4 linked regions of the Drosophila melanogaster genome follow. The gene in region 1 interacts genetically with each later gene. Each region holds a gene or a part of one and is shown on either strand. Other genes may lie near its edges. The genes, in order: rn, Ser, nej and nab.

The links.
Region 2: of rn (region 1) and Ser, changing one enhances a phenotype caused by changing the other (phenotypic enhancement), as found in Drosophila melanogaster (one study listed by BioGRID).
Region 3: of rn (region 1) and nej, changing one suppresses a phenotype caused by changing the other (phenotypic suppression), as found in Drosophila melanogaster (one study listed by BioGRID).
Region 4: of rn (region 1) and nab, changing one suppresses a phenotype caused by changing the other (phenotypic suppression), as found in Drosophila melanogaster (one study listed by BioGRID).

What each region holds. Positions count from the first base shown.
Region 1 is NT_033777.3:7,306,615-7,311,358, forward strand, and holds the start of rn (rotund), read right to left. Parts: upstream 3,016-4,744; 5' UTR 2,416-3,015; intron 1,862-2,415; 5' UTR 1,714-1,861; coding exon 1,243-1,713; intron 1-1,242. UniProt on the Drosophila melanogaster protein: Transcription factor involved in imaginal disks development. Isoform rn is required in the wings, antenna, haltere, proboscis and legs disks, while isoform roe is required in the eye disk.
Region 2 is NT_033777.3:27,191,225-27,196,082, forward strand, and holds the start of Ser (serrate), read right to left. Parts: upstream 3,044-4,858; 5' UTR 2,720-3,043; intron 901-2,719; 5' UTR 519-900; coding exon 282-518; intron 1-281.
Region 3 is NC_004354.4:9,682,652-9,687,312, reverse strand, and holds the start of nej (nejire), read left to right. Parts: upstream 1-1,645; 5' UTR 1,646-1,763; exon of another isoform or gene 1,764-1,810; intron 1,811-3,161; 5' UTR 3,162-4,661.
Region 4 is NT_037436.4:4,154,886-4,162,514, forward strand, and holds the start of nab (nab), read right to left. Parts: upstream 6,048-7,629; 5' UTR 5,765-6,047; coding exon 5,446-5,764; intron 1,612-5,445; coding exon 1,339-1,611; intron 1,229-1,338; coding exon 354-1,228; intron 1-353. Other genes in the region: mas (masquerade), read right to left, coding at 7,110-7,432, 7,492-7,629. UniProt on the Drosophila melanogaster protein: Transcriptional regulator that can both act as a coactivator or a corepressor depending on the context. Lacks DNA-binding domains and acts by associating with other transcription factors such as rotund (rn) and squeeze (sqz).

The sequences.
Region 1 (4,744 bases):
TATTCCACAGGCTGACATATGTCCTTAAACTTCACAGGACCACCTGTTGATTTGCATTAATTTCCTTTCATCCACTTGAAGCCATCAGTCAATCTGCATTAGACTGCGAAAAGCTTTGTAAGCCAGGCAATTATGGGATATCCTGTGCACGAACCAAGCCGACAAAAAGTGTCCTTTGGACCGTCTGAAAAAGCGACGCAAAAGCTTGAGCGTTTTACCATTAAAACCCACTCGAAACAAGAGATCTCTCCGTTTTGCGGTGCTCTTGCTTTCCCCGAAGAGAGAAAGAGAGAGCTCTTTCACTGACGCTCTTCGAGTTGGGGGCGTGTTTGTTTTCCTGTTTTTTACTCGCCTGCCACTTGTGTTTGTCGGCTTTTTGCCCTGCCTGGCTTTTAAGTGTTATTGGATGATTTTATGGAAATTGATTTGGAGCACGCCCACTTTCGGTGGTGAGAGTCGAGCCAAACAAGTGCAGCAGCTGCTCCAATGGGGATGCTAACCAGTAATTTGACATAATAACATTATCCATACACTGCTATAAAATTGGCTAGGAAACGGCAGTCGGATGGCTAAAGCATGGCAACCAACGGTGAGGATTAAAAATATGAGCTTTGATTTCTTTTAACTATTTTTTTTTTATTAAATAACGCCTAAAGTGTTCATTTATTTAATAAAAGAAAACATTTATCAAATGGCTACCAATATCTTAAAAGTGGATACAAAATGAGTAAAACTTAAAAAAAATTATTATTCGATATTCATGTCACTAAATTCAAAGAAGTTAGTTTTGGGTAGGTAAATTTATCCATGTTCAGGAGTAATGACCTTACACAAATTTTGCACTTCTTCAGTAGAATTAGAGCTTACTTCTACTTAAAAAAACGATTTATTATTCAATCGAAGATGTATCATTAGGATCATTATTATCTATCTGTGTTTTCGATTATGTAAACGGTCTGAGATCTCAAAAGCTAGAAGATTTCCTAATTTGGCAAGCAGATTTAACGTTTGCCCAAGAATACAAGCTCTCATACTAACAAATGATAATTAAAGAAACGGTTGTATCAGTATCATTAATGCCTATACAATAAAAACAACGTAAATGTTTTATTTTATCAGCTAGATAAAAGTTTCCGTTGCATTCAAATTAAAGTACTTAATAGTGTTTATTAAATAAAATAATACCAGGTCGTATTCATATAATATATTTTCATAATATTGTAAACTTTTTAGTGCGCTTACTCGAAACGTGTGTTCCACGGGGCAATCTAGTCCCAGCGCGTAATCCTCAACGACGGCTCCAAGCGAAGAGGGCTCGCCAAAGACCTGCTCGATCTTGATGGGCGGACTGGGCAGCAGGGGCGTGGCACTGGATCCTCCGACGGCGACGGCAGCAGCCGCTGCAGCGGCGGCGGCGGCGATTGCAAATGAGCTCTCGACAATTACTGGCGAACCTTGGCCGCCGGTGTGGCAGACGGGAATCGAAACTGGAACTGAAACTGGAACTGGACCGTTGCAGGGCGTTGGCGGGGCCGTGCATGGAGTGGGCGTGGCCGGGCCCTGGACATGGCCATCGTGGTAGGGCGTTACAACGAACGAGGGGTACGAGCGGAACTGGTGGTAGTCACTGTGGCCGTGCGAACTGTTATGCGGATTCGAGTGAGGATGGTGCGCCAACTGAGGTCCCTTGTACCAGGTACCATGCATAATCATTTAAGCACCTTCGATTGGCGGTTGTTCAGGGCGTTATTCTAATTAGTTCCACTTGGGGGTTCGCTCGGAATATCTATTTTACGTTTCAATTAAATAACGCGCTATTTAGTTTAGTTTTGTTGTTTTGTTCACTTTTTGGGAAATCGAGCTAGATGCGAATAGTAGGGAAAGAGTCATGTGGTTAGAAAGCAACTACTTTCGTCTATCCCTGAATCGGGAGTGTACTGAACCCAATAGAAAAGAAAGCTGGGATTACCTAGGTAAATAATATTTAAGCAGAATCGTGATGTGAGCAATGAGTTGCAACCGATTTGATTTCATAAATAATTTTAAAAAATTTTTAATTATGGAATGTTTACATAATAAACGAAAAATTTATGGTTTCAGTTTACAAAATAAAAACGGTATATTTCCATTTGAAGTAAATTTTGTTATTAATCATCACCGAACTATAATTTTACTATAGGGACATATGGAAATATATAATATATTATCGATTTAGGCGGAAGCTTTAAATATATTTAATATATATACTTTTTGGAACAGTTTAACTTGTGTTTGTATAATTTTGTAACTAGTTTATCAAATTATTGTTAACAAGTATCTTAAAACTTAATTCCGCAAAATGGCCTAAAATAAATATTTTATTAGGCTAGTCTTTTCTTGCTGCTGCTGCTGGGACTTATAGAATGACTTCATTACTTTCTAACCCCATTCGATATCTACTCCTCAGAGTGGCTCGTGGAAATTCTCGCAATTATCGCGTGTAGTAAGTGGATACTCCTCAATATATTCGTTCACTTGCATTCACTCAGCTGATCAGCGGATCACAATAACTATTCAGGGGAGCACTGAAACACGTTTATTACGGCCTCGATCGCATTGACACTTGACCAATTTCGACCCTTTCGAGGGCCTGGCTTGTTTTTTACCGACTCAGACGACGACGACGTGTGGTGATAACAATTTGCGAGTTCACTCGGCTCGATTTTTAATTATGATACCGCGAGCTGGGGGAGCAGCTGCACTTGCGGAATGGCGAAAATGCATTGCACTTTGCGACAGAATTCTTCGCGGATTGGGAGACGCGGGCAAAAAAGACTGCAGACTGCGGACTGCAGAACGGAGAGTGCAGACTGAGGAGTGCACTTGGCTGGAACGCGCGCGAAAGTGGCCAACTGGTGGACAGTGGCCGAGTGGCCGGCCGTTTGGGCCAGGTTTAGTTTGGCTTAGCCTGGCTTGGACTTTGCCTATGGCTTTGGCTCAGCAGAAGCGGCAGCAGCGAGCAGCGCAAAAAGTAGCTGCCAGCTCGCAAGAATTCCGAACTCGAATGCTGAGTGCGGCCACGAAAAAAACATTCAAATGCCTCGCACTCGCCGCCAAATCGCAGCATAGCTGCCCTCTCTGTCGCTCCACTCGCCCGGTCTCTCTCTCGCACTCGTGGCTGGCACGGCTTTGGGGCAGACGGCGACGCCTGCGCAACAGCTTTTTACTCCTTTTGCTCCAAAAGCAGTGGCAAAAAGTGGTTCGCTCGCTCTCTCCCTCTCTCACGCGGCCTCTCTCCCTCTCTCTTCGGGGCGATGGAAAAAATTGTTTGTGGTTTTTCCTGCAGCTCGCTTTTTGCTACCGGGTCTCTTGAGCAACTTTGATTTGATTTCGGGCTTTTTGCCTGAGTGGCTTTTCTTTTCTCTTGACTTTGAGCATGAATGAGCATATTGCGAGTTGCATGCTGCACGTTGCACGCTGCTCGTTGCGCGGCGAACGGTTAATGCGGCACTCCGTTTTTATAGCTCAATCTTTATGGTAAAACACGGGGGCGTTTAGGTGACGAGCAATGAAGGTTCAAGTCCGCCACCGAAGACGGGTTAATCAAAAGTGTTATCAGGAAAGTGGTTTCCATTTAATTGCTTAATAACGTTTTATTATTTTATTTATTGTCTTGTAAAAAATGTAGTTACTTAGTCTGCAATTTCTACGTCTCTCCTCTGCCACCATGTACAAATGAAACTTGATTTATTTACGTTTAAAATTTTCCTTTTTTAAATTTTTATAATGCAAATTCCACACCCAAAATGAAGATAGGAGCATACATTCGTTCCGATCCCAAATGCATAATTTTGCGCAAGAGACAAACGCTGAAATGACAAAAAATCACATCCGCAGACCATTAGCCCATTGACCAACTTCGATGGCGAACCACGCGTAGTAATGAGTTTTTAATACATGTAATATTCAAATTAAAAATCCGCAAAAACTACCAAAGTCAGTGGCAAAAACGAAACACGCTTTTTTGCGGCTAATAATCACACATATTCATTTCAAGCGAAGCGATGATTCGGCGGCACTGAAAAAATTCCACTCATACGCAGCGTTGGCCAAGCTCAAGAGCAAGCAGGGCAAAAGCGGCGATGCGCTCTTAAAACAAAAAAAAAACCATAAAAGCGGGCAAAAAAGAGAGAGTGCGAGCGTGAAAGAGAGGGTGTGAGTGTGAGAGCAGGTCGACACGAGGGTGAAGGCGGTGGAATTTTTATTGGAGCACTTGGTTTATTTCTTTTTTCACTGCTCGCCCCTTGACTGGCATCTTTTTGCTTGTGCTTGCCGTTTTATATTTTTTGTTAATTTTTCTTAAGTTTTTTTTTTTTTTTTACTCCTGACAAGGCATTTTTTATGGGTACGGACATGTGTCGCCAGCGGGTGGGAAAATGGCAGCGCATTTCGGCTGTGACAACTGCAACTGCCATTCCTCGGGGAAAAAGGTCAAAATAAATGAAATTAAAATGCAAGTGCTGCGCGTTTATTTAGTTAATCAATGCAATTGGCACATCCACCTGGGGACTGAGAATTGCAGTACTGCACCAGTAGAGCAGTATTGCAGCTATGTTTGATCCCAACGGCAACGATGTAGCTGGCCTTTCCTCACTCAAATCACTGGGAAATGGCTGCGTTTAGCCATCGTGGTTTTTCCGACCGACTGGGAACCTAATGTCCAGCAGTTTCCCGTTCGGTTTATCAGCTAATTTGATTATTTCAC
Region 2 (4,858 bases), about 20 Mb from region 1:
GAGAAAATTCCAGCGTAAGAGCTCTCATTAAAGACAGCTCTTCGGGATGCGGAGTTGATAAATCACTCAAAAAAATAAACCCAAAAATCATCATTATTTACGTCCCCCATCAAAACTTTGCCCTCAGCCATTGCCAATTCGCATGGGTTGAATCAACTTTGTCTGTTTTCTTTTGGCCTTTTTGACGAGACACTACACCCGCATGTATTTGGATCTGGGGCTTTTTGCGATTATTGCTTTGGGGATTCGATCGTTTTTTGCATGTTGGTTGGTTTGCTTACCTTATGGACTAACAGTATTAAAATTAAAGCAATTAAGTTGCAGGCAGACTTTAATGATCGACAATCGCGGATCGTCGATGGCAGGGTCGCGATTTTGGGTACCCGATGCCTCGGACGCTGCCTTTTTGTCGCCGTCTTCTTGGACATTCCCAGGCTGTCTGCTGATTCTATTGTTGACTCCAACGACGACGACGTAGCTGGTTTTCGCCGAAAATGTTTCCTAAACATTTTGTACATTCTGGGGGCGTTTGCGAGCGTGATGCTGGTTGGCGATCTAGATGGAGTTTGTTTCGGATTCACTCTGGATTGGCACCACACAAATGTAAATTCGCTGGGCAGCCTTAATTAGCCCATGTATGCAGATTTTGGTGCCTTTGTTTGTTTCTATTTTGCCACACTACACTTGCTCTGGATAGCTGAATAACTGGCCGTACTCTGGATGCTGTATCATTTTCTCCACTTTGCCTTCGTTTTGTTTGGTTTTGTTTGGATAATGTTGTTATCACACACAATTATTATTTATTATTTATATGGACCTTAGTATGTGCTTCTCTCGTTTTTGTTTTGTTCACACTTGACACTTCCACTTGATAGGCGCTGATGTTTTGTAGATCTTTAGCTGTAACAATTGTCGAACGAATTGGAATTGAAACGGGCTGCGCAAAATCTATTTCACTGTGCATCATCAACGCTAATTGACACGCAGATGATGCTGCTGCTGCTGCAGTTGCAGTTGCAGTAGCGGCAACCGCAGCAAGCCGCAACAAGTGCCACCAGCCACCGCAGCAACATTTACTTTTGCCAGACCGCAAAAAGCGGCAACGTGCAGCAAATGCAAATGCAATTCAATTTATGTTAATTTAACGCTGTTACTGCCGCTGCTGATGTGGCTGCTTCTGCAGTTGCTGCTGCTGCGACTATGGAGCCGTGTCTTTGGCCACAAACAATTTGCATCTTGTGCGCATATTAATTTACAGATATTTTCACTCTTGCTCACATTACTCATTCTTCCCACCCTGCCGCTGCTTTTGCCATTCCGGCCATCCTATCCTCCCATGGCCTTTAGCCCCCCAGCCCGCCCCGGTTCCTCCTGCTCGGGTGTTAATTGTCCATTTAATTAAGTAATTTGCTTGGGGCCTCCTCCCGGCTTTGGCACGGAACGGAAGTCGTTGACTTTGAATCGAAACCCAGATGCTGCCGCTCTTGCTCATGCTGCTGCTGCTGCTGCCGCTGATGTGGATGTTGCTGCTGCTGCAGGGCATGACCGGAAGTGGCTTTTGCAAGTGGATGATGCAGCTACCTCCCCCTTAATACCCCCTAATACCGCTACTTTCACTCTTCTCTCTTGGCAATTTGCAAAACGATGAATGAACTTCTAGCGGCCTCAAAACTTTAGTATACCGTGTATCCATTTCTATTTCTAGTAACTTCTGGATATACTCTGATTTATCAAATAATTGTGCAACCAGATCACCGTCTTGAACTTAACGATCTGAATAAGCTTTGGACCGTGCTAGATCCGTTATTCGTTGCATATGGTAAATCATTGAGCAGTGCATCGAGCATTTTCCGCGCTCTCTTGATCAGGGGCTTTCCCATGCTCGTACCACCCATTCAGAACCAAACTGATTTCACAATCTCTCTTTTCTCCCGGTGCACAGAAGAAAACTACACTACTTCATCTATACGGAAAGTTCTTTAACTTTCTAATAAAACATTTGTTATTCAATTCAAAATTCTTTAAATTTAGAAAAAAAAATCCGTGTTAAGCATCGCTTTTAGAAAGTCAAATACTTTCAATAGGTTGTTTGGGAATCCCACTTATTAAGTTCTAGTGGAAATTTCTCTATGTGCGCCCATTATTATTATTATTTGTATTATCTGCGTGCATTATGAACTAGTCGGATGTTTTCATTCTTTCTCCCTTTCACTTGGCATGTTTCAATTCCACTTCGTAGTTGTAGCTTCGTGTGTTTGTGTCCCTGTTTTGCGTCCCTGTGTGCGTTATCAATGGAGCACACTGTGGCCAGCGATTCCCCCGGAATGGGGCACTCGTTTTCGCATATTCACATTGTTTGCACTTTTACTTTTCGCCTTTGATTAAACACAATTTTGACGGCATTGTATTTTGATATATTAATGTATTGTATTTAATTGAAAGGTATTTCCGTTTTCCTTAGCTCACACGATCTGGGCTCAGAAATTAATCACACACTATGGAAACACACACATAGCAAAATGTCGGCTGATTGTCGATCTTTCGATTTGCTTTTCTTCCACCGAGCATTTGTAGTTGATTGCTCTTCATCATTTGTTGTAATCAGCAAGCAATTTAATTCGATTGCGGCACATTAAACACTTTCACAATTGTTATATGGATGATGGTCGGTGGCGTTCAGTTTGGGTGCACAATAATCCAATTCGAGGAGGGGTTTTACCGTTGACAGAAAAGGGGCTCATCACCGCTCGAAGCACGGCGCTCGACTAAACGCGTTAACCGAATCCTGCGGCATTTCCAGCCCTCGAGCAGCATCCATTCACGGGGCGGAGCAAGTCACGCGAGAGAGCTGCGGTTTTGGTGGTGGTAAAGGTGGTGAGGTGAGCTGTCGCTGCTGCTGCTGGTGGTGGTGGTGGTGGTGGTGATCTGCAGTCTTAAGAGAACTGTGGCTCGGTCTGAACCACCGAAACCGCTTTCAAAATAAACTGGCGACGACTTCCGCTGAGTGCTGCGTGCGCTTCAGGCTTCGACTAACGACTGATTGCCTCTGGGCACAAGTTGCCGTCGATCCCGAGAGCTTAACTCGCAGCGATTCTCTCTGTGCTTCTCTTTGAAGAAAACCAGTTTGCTCTTCGTGCAGTGCTCTTTAGCCAGCCGCTGATTGGTCGTACGACTGTATATAGCCCCGGGGCCCGGAATCTGAATCAGAATCGGCAGTTAATGGAGTTGCTGCCGCTTCGGCTGCTGCACGCATGCGCGCCCGAGGCTCTCGGCTGCCGTTTTTTACGATTCCAACTTAATTATGCCAATAAGTGCATTCTGGGGCTGTGTGTGTATGTGTGTGTGTGCTCCAGATCTAGTAGCTCCAAGGGACTGGCAATTAACACCTAATATGAAGGAACGCTCCCACAATCTTTAACGGCTGGGAACCAAATCGAAAGATACTAGCATCGGCCAATTATTAACCACACAGACAGAGCGGCGACTTCCATCCAATTATCTGCTGGCCAAAAGTGTATAAATCAAATTTAAATGCAACTGGCCTATCAGTGCAGCCAAAACAAAAGACTTAAGCAACAAACTTGGCAATTACATGCGGCCAACAAGACAGGCGGCAGCATCTTTGTTGTTGCTGCTGCCTACCTTACTGTTGTTGTTAGCGGCTCATATTTCTTGAGGCGCATATCTAAATATCGAATCATGTTGCTGATTTTCCATTGTCTGCCCACCACAGCAACAACAGCAGCAGCAACAACTGCTGCTGCCTCAACAACTGCAACAACACATAGTAAATCTCATTGTGCCGTTGTGACATGACTCTTGTTCGACAATAGATAAAACAAATTGACTTGGTGTGTGCCCAAAATGTCTTCTCTAGCCGTCTCCCTGGCCATTTGGGTCTCCATCCTCCTCTATTTGGTGGGCGTACTGGGCAGCGGTCTCCCAGCTCCTTTGTCATCTTTTCTCGCTTAAAAAAAAAGAAGAAAAAAAAAACAGAAGAAATGGAAGAAAAACTGCACTACAATGCCCATTATCAGCTTACATATCTGCGACAAGAGACCCCAGAGCGGCAATTGTACGGGCCACCGAGACGGCAACGGCAAAGGCAACTGCCAGCGGCAATGGCAACGGCTTCGTTGTCCAAATATGTTGCAAGTTGGTGTTATTCTTCACACGGCATCATAAATTTCACGTATAATTGACGCTTTCAGTTATATCAAAATTGGCTAAAAGGCGACGACCAGCTTTGCGTTGGTGGCCAGCAGACTACAGCCTTCAGCCATCAGCCTCCAGAGACTTCGAGCTGGTGCTCCCCAGAGATATTATTTTTGCTCACTGTGGCTTACATTGTTTTCGTTTTGATTTCAACTAATAGCAGACAACGACTTACAGGTGTCTTTGTGCGCGTCTCTCATAATTTGGGGGCACTCTGTGTTGGCGGCTTGTTGGACACTTGTTCGGGTTTGATGGCATTTCTTTTTTGGGATTAGCTTTCGTTTTCCGGCCAAGTGTTTTTGTGTTTTTTGGTTTTACTGTCACATGTAACAGCTGCAAAAGTGGACCAGAGCGGTGGCATAAATCCATAAAATCAAACATATTGAGTAATCAAAATGTTAAACCCACCCTCTTGACAAAGGTTCACCCCCTCAAACCAAAAAAACCCTCGTTGGGCGAGTTCATTAAACAAACAGGCAAATATGTTGGCAATTTCAACCAGTTGGTTTTACACCACTCAACATTTTATGACAGATTTTTCAAGTGTTTTTTCCGCCTCCTCGTTTTTCTTTTTTAATTTTTCACTCCTCCTGCTGCCGTTGTGGTGGCTGTTTGCGGTTAGTGGTTTCTGGTGGTTTAGTGG
Region 3 (4,661 bases), on another chromosome or scaffold:
AAATTGTAAAACCAAACTTTATATTCCAATTATTTTTAGGTTTTGAAACTCTTCAGTTCTTCATTCTGCATTGTTATTATAGCACGTTTCATCCATATAAATACACAAGATTAAAGGCAAATGACAATAATATCCGAAAAGATAGCTAGATAATGAATAATTACGCTTTTTAGCTACACAGCGGCCACAATGACAGCACTGTTCCTCGTACGAATGCTAACGTTAAGAAGAGGAAGAGACGAGCGGTGCTGGGTTGAAAAAAACTGGAAAAGGGGGGAAATTGGCGCAAATTGTGCACGCGAGGCGCAGCAGGGACGTTGGATCTTAACTATCGGTTTGTGTTCCTTACTTTGCGGCAAAATTAATGCAACCAATTGCCGATATACTGAGAAAAATGGCATAATTAAATAACCAGATCCAACGCATGTAGTGTAAAAAGTCGGGCATTATTCCCAATCGCAAAAGAGAGAGAATCGGTATCACTCGCTGACCCGTCTCGTTCGAGTCTTGATCGCGGTATCTCGCTTGCACCCACATACCGAGCGCCAGCCAGTCATATGGCCGTCCCGTTCATTTCGGTGACAACGTGTCGGTGTGTGTGCATCAGTGTGCAAGCTTATATGTGTGCGCTGTGTATCTGCAACAAACAACGGCGGCCGCTAACAAAAAAAATTGTAAATAAATACGCTGCCGTTCGACAGCGCGCGAAAATCGAAAAAGTGCTCGAAAAGTCAACGAAAGAGCGCCCCCAAAAGAATATAAAAAATTCCGCTAGCGGAAAGGGGGGAACAACAGAAGCAAGTGGGACATTTATTGAACAATTTGAAAATTAATTTGTTCTGTGCGTTGTTTGCATGACCACCGGTTCGTCGGACAAGGACGACGATAGTGTATCCTTCGGCGGCTGATTTTTCGGCTTGCCTCTCTCTCACACGTTCTCTTTGTCTCTCACGGCAAGAGCGAACGGAAAACACGCTAACACTGAACCCACCAGAGATGCGCAAATCCAATGACTCGATTACTTACGTGATCCTCTGTAAATATCGTTTTTCCTTTGAAGAACTTTAAACTAGATTTTTACGATGGACAAACGTTTTCAAAATTAATGTCTACAAATACTTTTTTAAACAAAAAATTCTAAACAACTGCACTCATTCAAGATGTTGATTTATTAATTCATATTAAACATCTTTTTGGAATACCTATTTGATCTCAAAAACGCTGCAAAGAATATTCATTTCATAATGATGTTGGTCTCCAACCAATGATGTTTCTTACAAAACTTCTTTGTGCACATTTTCAAGTGACCGCATAAAAGTATCGGCGAATGTGTCACCGTCATCATGTGGTCATCTCTGGACTCGCTGCTTCGTTATCTGGCGCGCCATATGTGTGCGCGTGTGTGCGTATCGGCTCTTTGGGAGCGCATGGCGTGAGCGGTCTCGCCGACGCAGAGAGCGAGGGACTAGAGCAAAACAGTGTTCCGACAGCGGTTAACAGCTGTTACGGGGCCAACAGACTGCTAGCAAAGGCATTTATATGGATTTCGGGTCGTAACAGTACGACAACAGCGGCCAAACAGCACGCGAGAGCGACGAGAGCCCACTCGCGTGTTGTGTTAAACAGTCAATTTTAGTGTATTTCCGAGCTCGGTGGTGTATTTGAACGGCTAGCCGCGGTCACACTGAAGCAAAAACATTTTTGGCTCGGAGAACGATTAACACAAGCGGACTGAAATTTTTTTGTTTTAGTGTTGCGAAAAAGTTTGTGGGATTTTTATAAAATCGCCGGAAAATGTGAAAAATATATGGTATAAAACCGAAATTCGGCAAAATTGCAAAGTATAGTTAGAAATTTAGTGCGTGGCAATCGGTGACGGTGGAAAAATAAAAATACCGGCCAAAATCGGGCTGAAATTTTTTTCAAATTTTCTACGGCATTTTCTTGAATTTCGTATTTTCGCCAAATATTTTTGCGATTTTTGTGTGGGCCGGGAAAAATGAAAAACGCTCTGGCGGAGACAACACAAAAAATTTCTGCAATAGAAACTTTGAAACGACGTGAAGAAGAAAACGAAACGAAAACGACGAACGAACACAGAAAAAAAATGGAATATATTTCTGTCGTCTGTTTTTCTTTCTTTTTCCAATGCTCCTCGCACTCGTTGCCGTTTACCGTCGTGTGTATATTGCACACTAATGCCGCTTGGCACTAATACCATCGCATGCTTTCTCTCTCGGACTCGTGCTCGCTCTTGCACGAACTCGCTGTTTTCGAAGTGTGCGTGTGTGTAACTGTGTGGTGAAAACGGCGTTGGCGTCGCTGTGAGAATTCTGTACGCGCGCCCCAAACCCCAAATGTGTGCGTGCGTGAGTGTGTGAAAGCTTTTGTCAGCCAGCCCCACTGCACTCTAGTGTCATCCCGCTCGCACCCCACTCGCCACTCGCCGCCCCAACAAATTGAATTTCATATGATGGCCGCTCGAATGCGGAAGCAAAACCAAAATACGGCCACTTTTTCGGCCATTTAATTTATAAACTAGACTATAGACTACAGCCGCAACTGGCTGATACTTCAATTAATTTTTTTAAGCAGTGCTCTGACTTTTATTACCTGTAAAGGTGTGAAATTTTTTTTCCAAAAATGTATTTGTCATAAAAATGTTAAGCATGTTTCAAAGTATATTTTTGCCAACGACGGCACTTGTTTTCCATATTTTTTAGGGGACTGGCGGCAAAATGAAATTATTATTTTCATTTTCGTGGTGTGCGCCAAAAGAGCGAGAGGCCAACACACACGTCTGCGAGTAAAATAACGAGTACAGCGCTGGTAGTATTGGCGAATAAAATTGCGAGGCAAGAACAGACAAGAGAGAGAGAGAGAGTGAGTGGTCGTCAAGCGGCACACAGATGAGTGCAACGAGACCGAGAGAATTCTCGGTACTGTTCTCGTTGTTCTTCCCTTTTCGCCCCGTCTTCGGCACGTCTCGTCGCATTTTAGTTTCGTTTTGTTTCCATTTTCCCCTCGGTTTCGCTGTCCACTCGCGCGCGGCTAAATTACAAAAAAGAAAGAAGAAAATAAATAAATATTGCTTTCGATTTGTGTTCGTCCATTCAACATAATCTAATAGGCTGTGTATTATTCTTCTTGTGCGTTTGCAGTTAATGTGTAATGCTAGAGCGGCAAACGTCGGCAGCAGCAGCAGCAGCAACAACATCAGCATCGACAAAAACAACAGCAGCGCGCCAGCAACAAAAACAAACCGAAACACAACAAACCCAACAACAGCCAACAATGTGAATTGCTTTTTTTTCCTTATTAATTGTAAACGATAACCGAATCAAGTGCAATCAAAATTAAACACAAGCATATATAATATATGGTCAAAATATCTATATATATATATATATATTCCTGTGTAACAAAAAGCCGCCAAAAACAAATCACATAAAATATGTAAGATAGCGGAGAAAAAGGCGGAAAGAAAAGGAAGAGAAAGAGGAGAGAGCCAAACCAAGAACCGTTCTTTTTCGCTCAGTGGAGGCAGGCAGGCAACAACAGACAAACAAACAAACAAACAATAACAAGAGCCGCCCAGCCAAGGTCAACTTTTGGTGTTTTTGGGGCCCAACAACACAAAATGCACGCGTGTGTCTGCTGCTGTTCGACAAACAACAATTGCAACAACGAGAACAACGACGGCAGCAGCAGCAGCAGCAGTAACCACAACAACAACGACAGCAGCATCAGCAGCAGCAGCAAAAACAAATTGCAGCTAAAAAAGCGCAGGGCCGAAGTCGAAGAAGAAGAAGAGGTACTGGTCAAGCGGACGCAGGATAAGAACAAGCATCAAGAGGAGCAGGAGCAGGAGGAGCACCAGGCGGTGGAAAAGTTGTCTGCTGGCCAAAGCGCCAGTGGCGGCGACAACGATCTCAACGGCGCCGCAACGAGAAGGCGGTGGTGGCTGCGCGATCCTCCAGGATCAGCGGAAGCGGCAGAAGGAGAGGGAAAAGGCGAAGGAGTGGAAGTGGGTGTGGGAGCAGAAGGATCAGCGGGCACAGGTCCGACGACGTGGTGGTGGTCAGCTCCATCCGTTGACGTTGCGGTGACGATAGCGCCGGCTACGTTGTTGCTGTCGTTGCAGCGGCAATTAGCAAAGGAATTATCTAAATCAACAACAACAACTGCAACAAGAACAACAACAGAAGCCACATCCTTAGCAATAAAAAGCGGAGCAGCAGCGTTAATATCATCATTAAGTGCAAGCATCGCCAACATCATCGATTACAAGATCCCAAAACACCAATACCAAAACCAAATCCCAATCCTCGCCAGCCACGCCTTTTGAGTGCCTCTTTGTGTGTTGTGTATTGTGCGTGCGTGTGTTGCAAAGTGTCCAAACTAATCAAGAAATCTACAACTTAAAACACTAAACACTTAACCAAACAAACAACCTGTGCAACAATTGTCAAAGTGCTAGGCGACAAATAATTTCTGAAAGAAGATTTGACAAGTTCCAATAACGAAAATATCAGAACACACTCGAACTCCAACATAGACGGATCATTGGAGAGTTAGTGAAAAAAAAAAGCGAAAAATCAGAAAAACTTTATAAACTAATAGAAACAATACTACTCAGATTTTTCGAACGTTTTTCGTCT
Region 4 (7,629 bases), on another chromosome or scaffold:
TTAAAGAATTAAATACATTAGTGATTTAGTTATTTTCAAAGGTCTTTAAGACCAAATTGACTACACAGACTATATGGGTTATAGTCAGTTTTTTAACTACAAGATTAGAAGTAAGATTTATCAAGTCTAGTTCAAAAATACTGTAGTGTGAACTTGGATCCCTCTCCACAGGTCGGGATATTCTGAGAAGAACCTCTCGACTAGGATTAGTAATTGTGTTCTGGCGTTCGCGAAAGCTGCAAGGCAAATTGTTGGGTTATCAGGGAGCACCTCCGTCCGGAGGACTCTGAAGCGAAGCTGAAGCACTGCACCGGGCACCGGACCTATAGCTCTACGGTATCTAGCTTCCTTACCCGATTCAAGTCGAGCGGCAGCTGCGCAGCCTCCGTAGAGGAGAGTCGCTGTCGCTTGGAGGGCACGGCGGCGTCACTGGACTCGCAGTCCGTGTCGCCAGGAGCCCGTCCTCCGCCCAATCCCGCTCCCTGCGACGGCAGCTGGGTGAGCAGACCACCGTACCGGGCAATGCTGGCCGAGTGGCCGAACCCGGCATCCTTGACAATCTGCCGTGCCAGGGGGAACAGCTCATCCCGGCGGGTCAGCAGCCAGATGGTCTGGGGATTCCGACACAGCTGGGCCGCCGCCTCATTGACGCACACCTCGTGCAAGGTCAGCGGCTTCTCCGGCCGCCTTTTGCAATCGAAACGGCCGTAGATGGCCGAGTACTTACGGATCTCGTCCATGCGCCGCGGATCCTGTTCCCCCATGGCGATAACCTGCTCCAGTTCCCGGGTGGTTCGCTTCCTGGTGGTCTGGGCGCGCGGTTCCCTCTGGGGCAGTTGCCTGCCAATCTTATCAGCACACATGGTTATCCGCTGGATCTGCGCTTCGGTCAGAACAGGTGTGAGCTGGGGCGAACTGGAGGAGACCTGGTGGGCGGTGTTCGCCGGAAGGTTACTGTTCGCCGAGGGATGCGGACTGCTGGTCAGCGGGTTGGGGGGCAGTACCAGCGGCAAGGGCACCGAAGGAGCTGAGGGACAGCTGATCTGGGTAGCCAAGGGGACAGTGGGAGCGGGAACCGAGGCGGAAGCGGGCAGTGGAGCTGGGGGAACCGGCGAGGGCATAAAGGAGGAACCCGAGGGATTGAACGAGGGAAATTTCTGGCGGGGCAGAGCGGGCGTGGTGTCCGGATTGAAGATCAATGCCGGTTTCGGTGGCGTTTCGCAGAGACCTGCAAGTAACAAGGTATTAGCAAAAGTGTTTTACAGAGGCGGAAATTCATCAAATCAACTAAATATTGTAAAAGTCTCATTTTCCTTATATCATATTTCTTAAACTTACCCAGATGCGGCATCATGGGTCCCTGGAAGAGACCCGGATTGTTGGCCCACTCGTGCAGCGCCTTCTGCAGCCGGCGGACGTGAAGTGGCTTGGAAGCCATGCCGACCAGGGCCATGATCTCGAGGAACTCCTCCTCGCCGGCGTCGTACAACTGCTGCACATCATCACCGCCCATTTCCAGCAGGGTGTCGTAGTAGGCCAACAGACTGGCCCTCTGGAGTACCCGGTACAGCTGCACCTCCGCCTCGTTGCCCGGTCGCGATGTGGTGATCACTGGAAGATACAAGCAAACGTATGCATAAGAAACTGGCTTGAAGAAGTTCCAGCAAAAAATGATATTTATTAAGTTCTGGCCTGCGACGTTCTCACAATGCTACGCGCCTATAAGAAAAAAATTTTAATTAAATTCGCTTTTTCTTACCCAAAAAAAAAAAAAAACTCGACGGACGTCTGGACCCTAACCCTTTTTTCGTAGAGGCTGAGCAGAGCAAAAAAAAAAAACTCGAAAGCACACAAAAAGGATGAGGCAAGAGCTGGGAACCAACTCATCTGCATAAGCATGGTGGTTCAACCCCTTCTGAAAGACCAAGGATGCGATACGATCCGCTTTGAGTCGGCAAACTCGTTAGAAATGCGTCACGCATGCGCAAGATGCCAGCAAGGATTGCCAGGATCATCATTTAAATCTAACCTATTCTCTCTTTTTTTTTGTTTGCTTTTATCACTTTCAATTTTTGGCTCAAAATAGGTAAATTTTCATGGGTATATGGGATGGCATCGTGTGAAATATATATGTACATACATATAAAGTCGTACCTACACTCAAGTTCATAGGAAACCATCCTGACTAGCCAGCGATTTATTGCTCATACTAATGAATCCCCCGATCGAGGAGACTGTAACTGTTATGGCAGCACAGCTCTAAATGGACGACGCCGATGACGAGGATGATGATTATGTCAAATCGTAAATAATTATGTGAGAATATTTCAGGCGGCGACAACGTCTGCAGCCAGCTTTAATTAATAGAAAAACGAGCTGGTCGGCTAAATTATAACAAACTCAGGGCAGAAAAAGCTGCCTACATCGATTGCCATCCTCCGATTCCACTCGCTCTGTTTTTTTTTTTGTGGTTTGTATTCAGTTGCCTTGGCCAACTGGAAGCCACAAGCGCATCCACCGACGTGCAACACCAAGGATGCGCACTTCGCGCCATTAACCCACGCTCCGCTCCATGGGGTTGTTGCGATTTATGGCCAGGCAGCAAGAATAATTCGCATTCTTAGCCGCTTAATTGGGTATATCATAAATAGTTTGGAAACTAAAATATCAGACCAGTTGCGTCCACTTGAAAGCTGTGATCAACTGAGCTGAACTGGACTGAAATTAGTGTCGACTTTGAAAGTGCTTATAAATGTACGCTAAATCCAGCAAACTAGTAGCTAAGTGACAAGGTTATTAAAACTAGTTAATGAGAGGGTTATAATAGACACATTTGGCCAGTTTTAGTGAAAGTTTATGATCTATATATCTCTATATACATATAATATATTTAAAATGAAAAGATACATATGAGTAATGCTTTTCTGAAAGCTTTCTTAAGATTTTCAATTGATCTTGAAATTGAAAAAAAAACCTAGAGTGACCGCTGAAGGGTTAAGAGCGTGGCCACACTTCTGGTCTATTCCATCACTTGCCACCGCCCGCTCCCTGATCCTAACTTGGGTATTTAACGCAGACCTGCGTAAGTCGGGAGTCTGGTGGAGCAAACGGAGAGGGGCAGCCGGTGGTAGCAATAAATAAATGAGACGTGATTTCAATACACAAATAATGTGAATGGTGGGGGGAACGGGGGGGATATGGCGAAGCGGGAGGCTGGGAAGGCGGAGAACTGGGGACACTTTGTTGTGGCTGCTCCAGCTCCTCTGCTTCTGCGGATTGTTGCTGATTTTTTATTTATTTAATTTGCGGGTTTGGTTTTCTTTTTTTTTTTTGCTTGCTTTCATTTTTTTTACCCACTGCGTAAGAGCCGATGCTGCGGCTGCTGTTGTTGTTGTCATTTGCTAAATATGCTGTTTTTATGCGAACGGCAAATGGTGAAGATGGACAAAAAATTAACTGCAGTAACTTTTTAGTTGGCACTTGGCAGCAATAATGACATTCGACGCCACATACCAAGCAGCTGCCCAAGCAGCCAGGAGCAGAAAACGGAAAACCGCGAGCAGCCAGCAGGATAGGCACTTAGAAAAAAAGTGTGGTTGATTCTGATAAGATGTGATAATTGTTTCTAATGGAAATTATAATTATATATATTTCATACAAGGCGTCTCTGAGCATTAAGTTAAGTATGTACCTCGCTCATGCCTATATTATTTGTATTATTTTGACACACTTTTCTCACAGTGCATTTAGAAAATGCGTTATAGTGCATGTGTGTGTGTGTGTGAGCGGTCTGTGTGTGCGTGTGGAGCGGAGCAGTCAATCGTGCGATCGCTTCGATTATGGGCAAAAAGTAGACGCCGGACTTTGCAGACTTTGACTTGGAGAGTTGGACCTGGAATCGGAACCTGGAACCTGGAACCTGGGACTTGGGACTGGGACCAGGGTCTGAATCCTCCTCCTCCTCCTCCATTCGATCCTCCCTTTCTGCTTGGCATCGGCAATGGGCAAGTAACCGAAACTATTTCTCATATACAACGATAAATTAAAAGCCAACTTTTTCAACGACCAAATTCTTGTCGATCAAAATTCCATTGGTGGCAATAACGTGGACCGTACGTGCCAATGGCCAATGGCCCCGGCAGAGGAACCATAACCATAACCTGCACAGGAAAAGAATAATGTCTGTCCAAAATATTAAGTGCATTATTTTCGGGGTCATTACGATCTTAATCTTGCCAATTTGAGGGTTTTAATAGGACCTGTTTCGCCATGTCCATTGTACTTGTATAAATCTAAATAAAAGATACACTGGATACTCATTGGAAATGCTATGTTATATTAAGTGATACCAACTAGATAATATAAGTTGATTGAATCACTAAGAACTGGATATATATATGTTTTTTTCTCTGTGTGACGACATCTTTTCTTTCGGCGCTTGAGCATTTTTTCCAACGAGAACGCGTCTCGTTGGTTGCCTCCCCTTCCGCCAACTGAGATTTATTGAAATATTTTACTACCCTCATCGCTTGGGGTGAGTTTTTTCCGTTTCCTTACAACGTTTTTTCATATCACCCCTAAGACGCGACCTATCATCATGAGGTTCATCTAACGGCTGCCTAGGAAAAGGCATCTTACCTGGGTCTGGCATGGATCCTATTGGATGAAGTCTGCCATTGCTGCCTTAAGAAATCCTAGACCTTGAGCAAATATGCAAAGTAAGACACCCCAAGCAATCGAGCACCGAGGAAATGAAAACCGGAACAGGGTCCGCTATTTTTTAAGAAATTAAATTATTACCCAGCAAAGGTAACTTTCAGCTTCCTTTGTTAATAGACGGAGGTCCTTGAAGGACAGGGACAAGCTCCTTCGGTTTTCCGTTACATAACATCGCCAGACAATGGAAGCTCGCGAAAAGAGCGCGAAAATTGCAGCATGTGGCTGGATGAGGATTCCTTTGTCAAAGGATTCGTTGCGGTCGAAGGATCAGGATTGGACACAATAACATTTATACAAATGAAGACATCTGCATGAGCCAATGACGAAAGGATGTGCATGGCTTTCGGAGATAATTAGAACCTGTATCAGCAAATTTTTTTTGGTATTTTTAACGACAAAAACTATATTCAATTACCATCAACATAAACCATTTTGAAAGCCTTTAGAACGCAAAGAAATTAACTGACAGAAAATAGTTTATAATTATGAAAACAGGCATCCTTCACAAAGAATTTCTATTAGAAACTTTTAATTTGTTTCAAAACAATTAGTTCCCTTTCTACAATTGTACTTTGATTACCAAAGTTTATTTTTTAAGTGAGAGCATAGAAAACCTTTTACTTCTATCCACAACTGTACTGTGTTCACTAGTGTAACACAGCACAGTAATATCCTTGGAAATCCTTTTCACCATATTACAGCATCAGTTAATAATAAACTACTTACTTGTTCCATTCGCATTCCTTCCAAAGATCTTGCCCTGCGGACTCATAATGGGACTGGAGGAGGCCGACGGAGCGCCCGAGAGCGATCTCTGTCCCTCGGATAGTCCGCTGGCTACGGACAGATTGTACAGATCCTCCGTCTTGGGCATTTCCAGACTGGTGGTCAGCAGCTGTGACTGTGTGGCGGAGGCGGATGCAGATGCTGTTGCGGATTGGCTGTGTCCTTTGCTGCTGGTGCTGGCAGCTGGCGATGGACTGGATGTGGATGTGGTGGTGGCCACCGCCGTCGTGGGTGTTGTGGGATTCGAGCTCGCCTCCATTGCGATAAAACACGTTGGCAAACGATGACGGATTAAATTAACGCGATTGGCACGAAAGGCGATCAAATACCAGGCACAAACACAAAGAACCAGGACGAAATGCATGCAAACTAGGATCTAGGATCAGGGATCGAGGATCGGAAGAGTACTACAGGCTACGATTAACTACACTAGATAAGTATATAAGACTCTTTAGGGAGAGTTAAACAGAAGATTGTAACGGCAGTAACGAAACTCGCGCCACTTTCAGTCTCTCTAATCTCTGCGATCCGCTCAGCTCGAGGCCAGACGAACTTCTGTGCACGAATCCCAGAACGGACATCTGAGGAACCCTTTTGGAACCGGCCGACGACAACGAAGCCAACGAAGCCACCCGAAGTCCACCCGAGTGCCGGGCGCTTTCGTTTTCTATCAGCCGGGGCAAAAAAAAAAAAAAGGGTTAAAATCAGGGATAAAAACAAAACCAAACAAATTGTTCGGAGGGTTAGGAACGTAGGACATTGGTTTCCAGATTTGAGGGTTACTTTTTATCTGCCGATGCTCAAGATTCTCTTAGAGAACAATCATTCTCTCTCTCTTTTCGCAATTGAGCGACATTGAGTGAGTTTTTGTGCTCCGCCTCTTGAGAAGCACTCAAAGATTCGGAATGCCGGAGAGACTTTCCAAAAGATCCTTTTAATGTTTTTTTGGTGAAGAATTCCGTTAAATCTGTTGGGAATATTCAAATTTCAGCAAAAAAAAAATAGGTTGTATAAGATTGCATAACCCTTTTCCCATGTCAAATGAATCATTATGCAACTGCATTTTTTCGTACTAGAAAAGAAAAATCTGCTCTCCTTTGCCGCCAAAATTCGAAAATATTTAAATATCTTTAGGAAAAATATATATTTGAAATTTTGTAAGCAGTTTCTTGTGGAAAACGAAGAAACAGCTTATTGTAAAATATGATCATATATTTAAAAAATTAATTAAACCAAACCCTTTTTACCCAACCAAATCCATACTCAAATGTTTATATAACTGAAGATTTTTTGTATTTATTTTGTATATACAAAAACATTTTACCATAGGGCGTTATCAAATAGGGGAATACTTTTAAAGATTGCCGTCTACGCTACCGATAATCATAATAGTTAATATAGTTGCTTTCTGGATTTGGAGTCATTAGAGTTAGGTTTAGGTATGAATAGATTACACTAGGATGGAGTTACGTTAGCAGTCGAAGAGCGGGAACCCCTGGAAACAATCGTAGGCTACACCAGGCTAGTCGTCAGTCCTGGAAATCGCCACAAGAGCGGGGTTCCTCCCGCACATGGTGTCAGTGTGTCCTTTGCGAGATTCCTCACTATAAGTTATTCACGCTGATGATCTGGTTGATCCAGCCGATGAACGAGGACGTCTTCACATAGACGCCGGGCACATCCTGTCGCCCGCAGCCGAATCCCCAGGAGACGAGGCCGGCCAGCTCGTAGAACCCATCATCTTGGCAAACTAGTGGACCACCTCCATCGCCCTGGCAGGCATCGTGTCCCTCCTCTCCGCCGGCACAGAAACTGGAGGCGGGCAGGATGAAGATCTTCTCCGTCACGGCGTTCACCTTCCGTATGCACTCCGTATCGCTCACAATGGGAATCTCCGCCTCACGCACTCGCAGGGGAATGGGACCAGCTTAAAAGATGACCAAAAGTTAGAAGCTATCAAAGTAATCATAAGGATCTAGTCGCTACCTTCACCCATATATCCGTATCCGGTCACCGTGCATCGCTTGCCCGCCGCATGGCTGACTCCTCGTGCAGGAAGACACACCAAGCACACTCCATCTCGAAGCTCCGCTTGACCATGGAGCTTCAGGAGAGCAATATCGT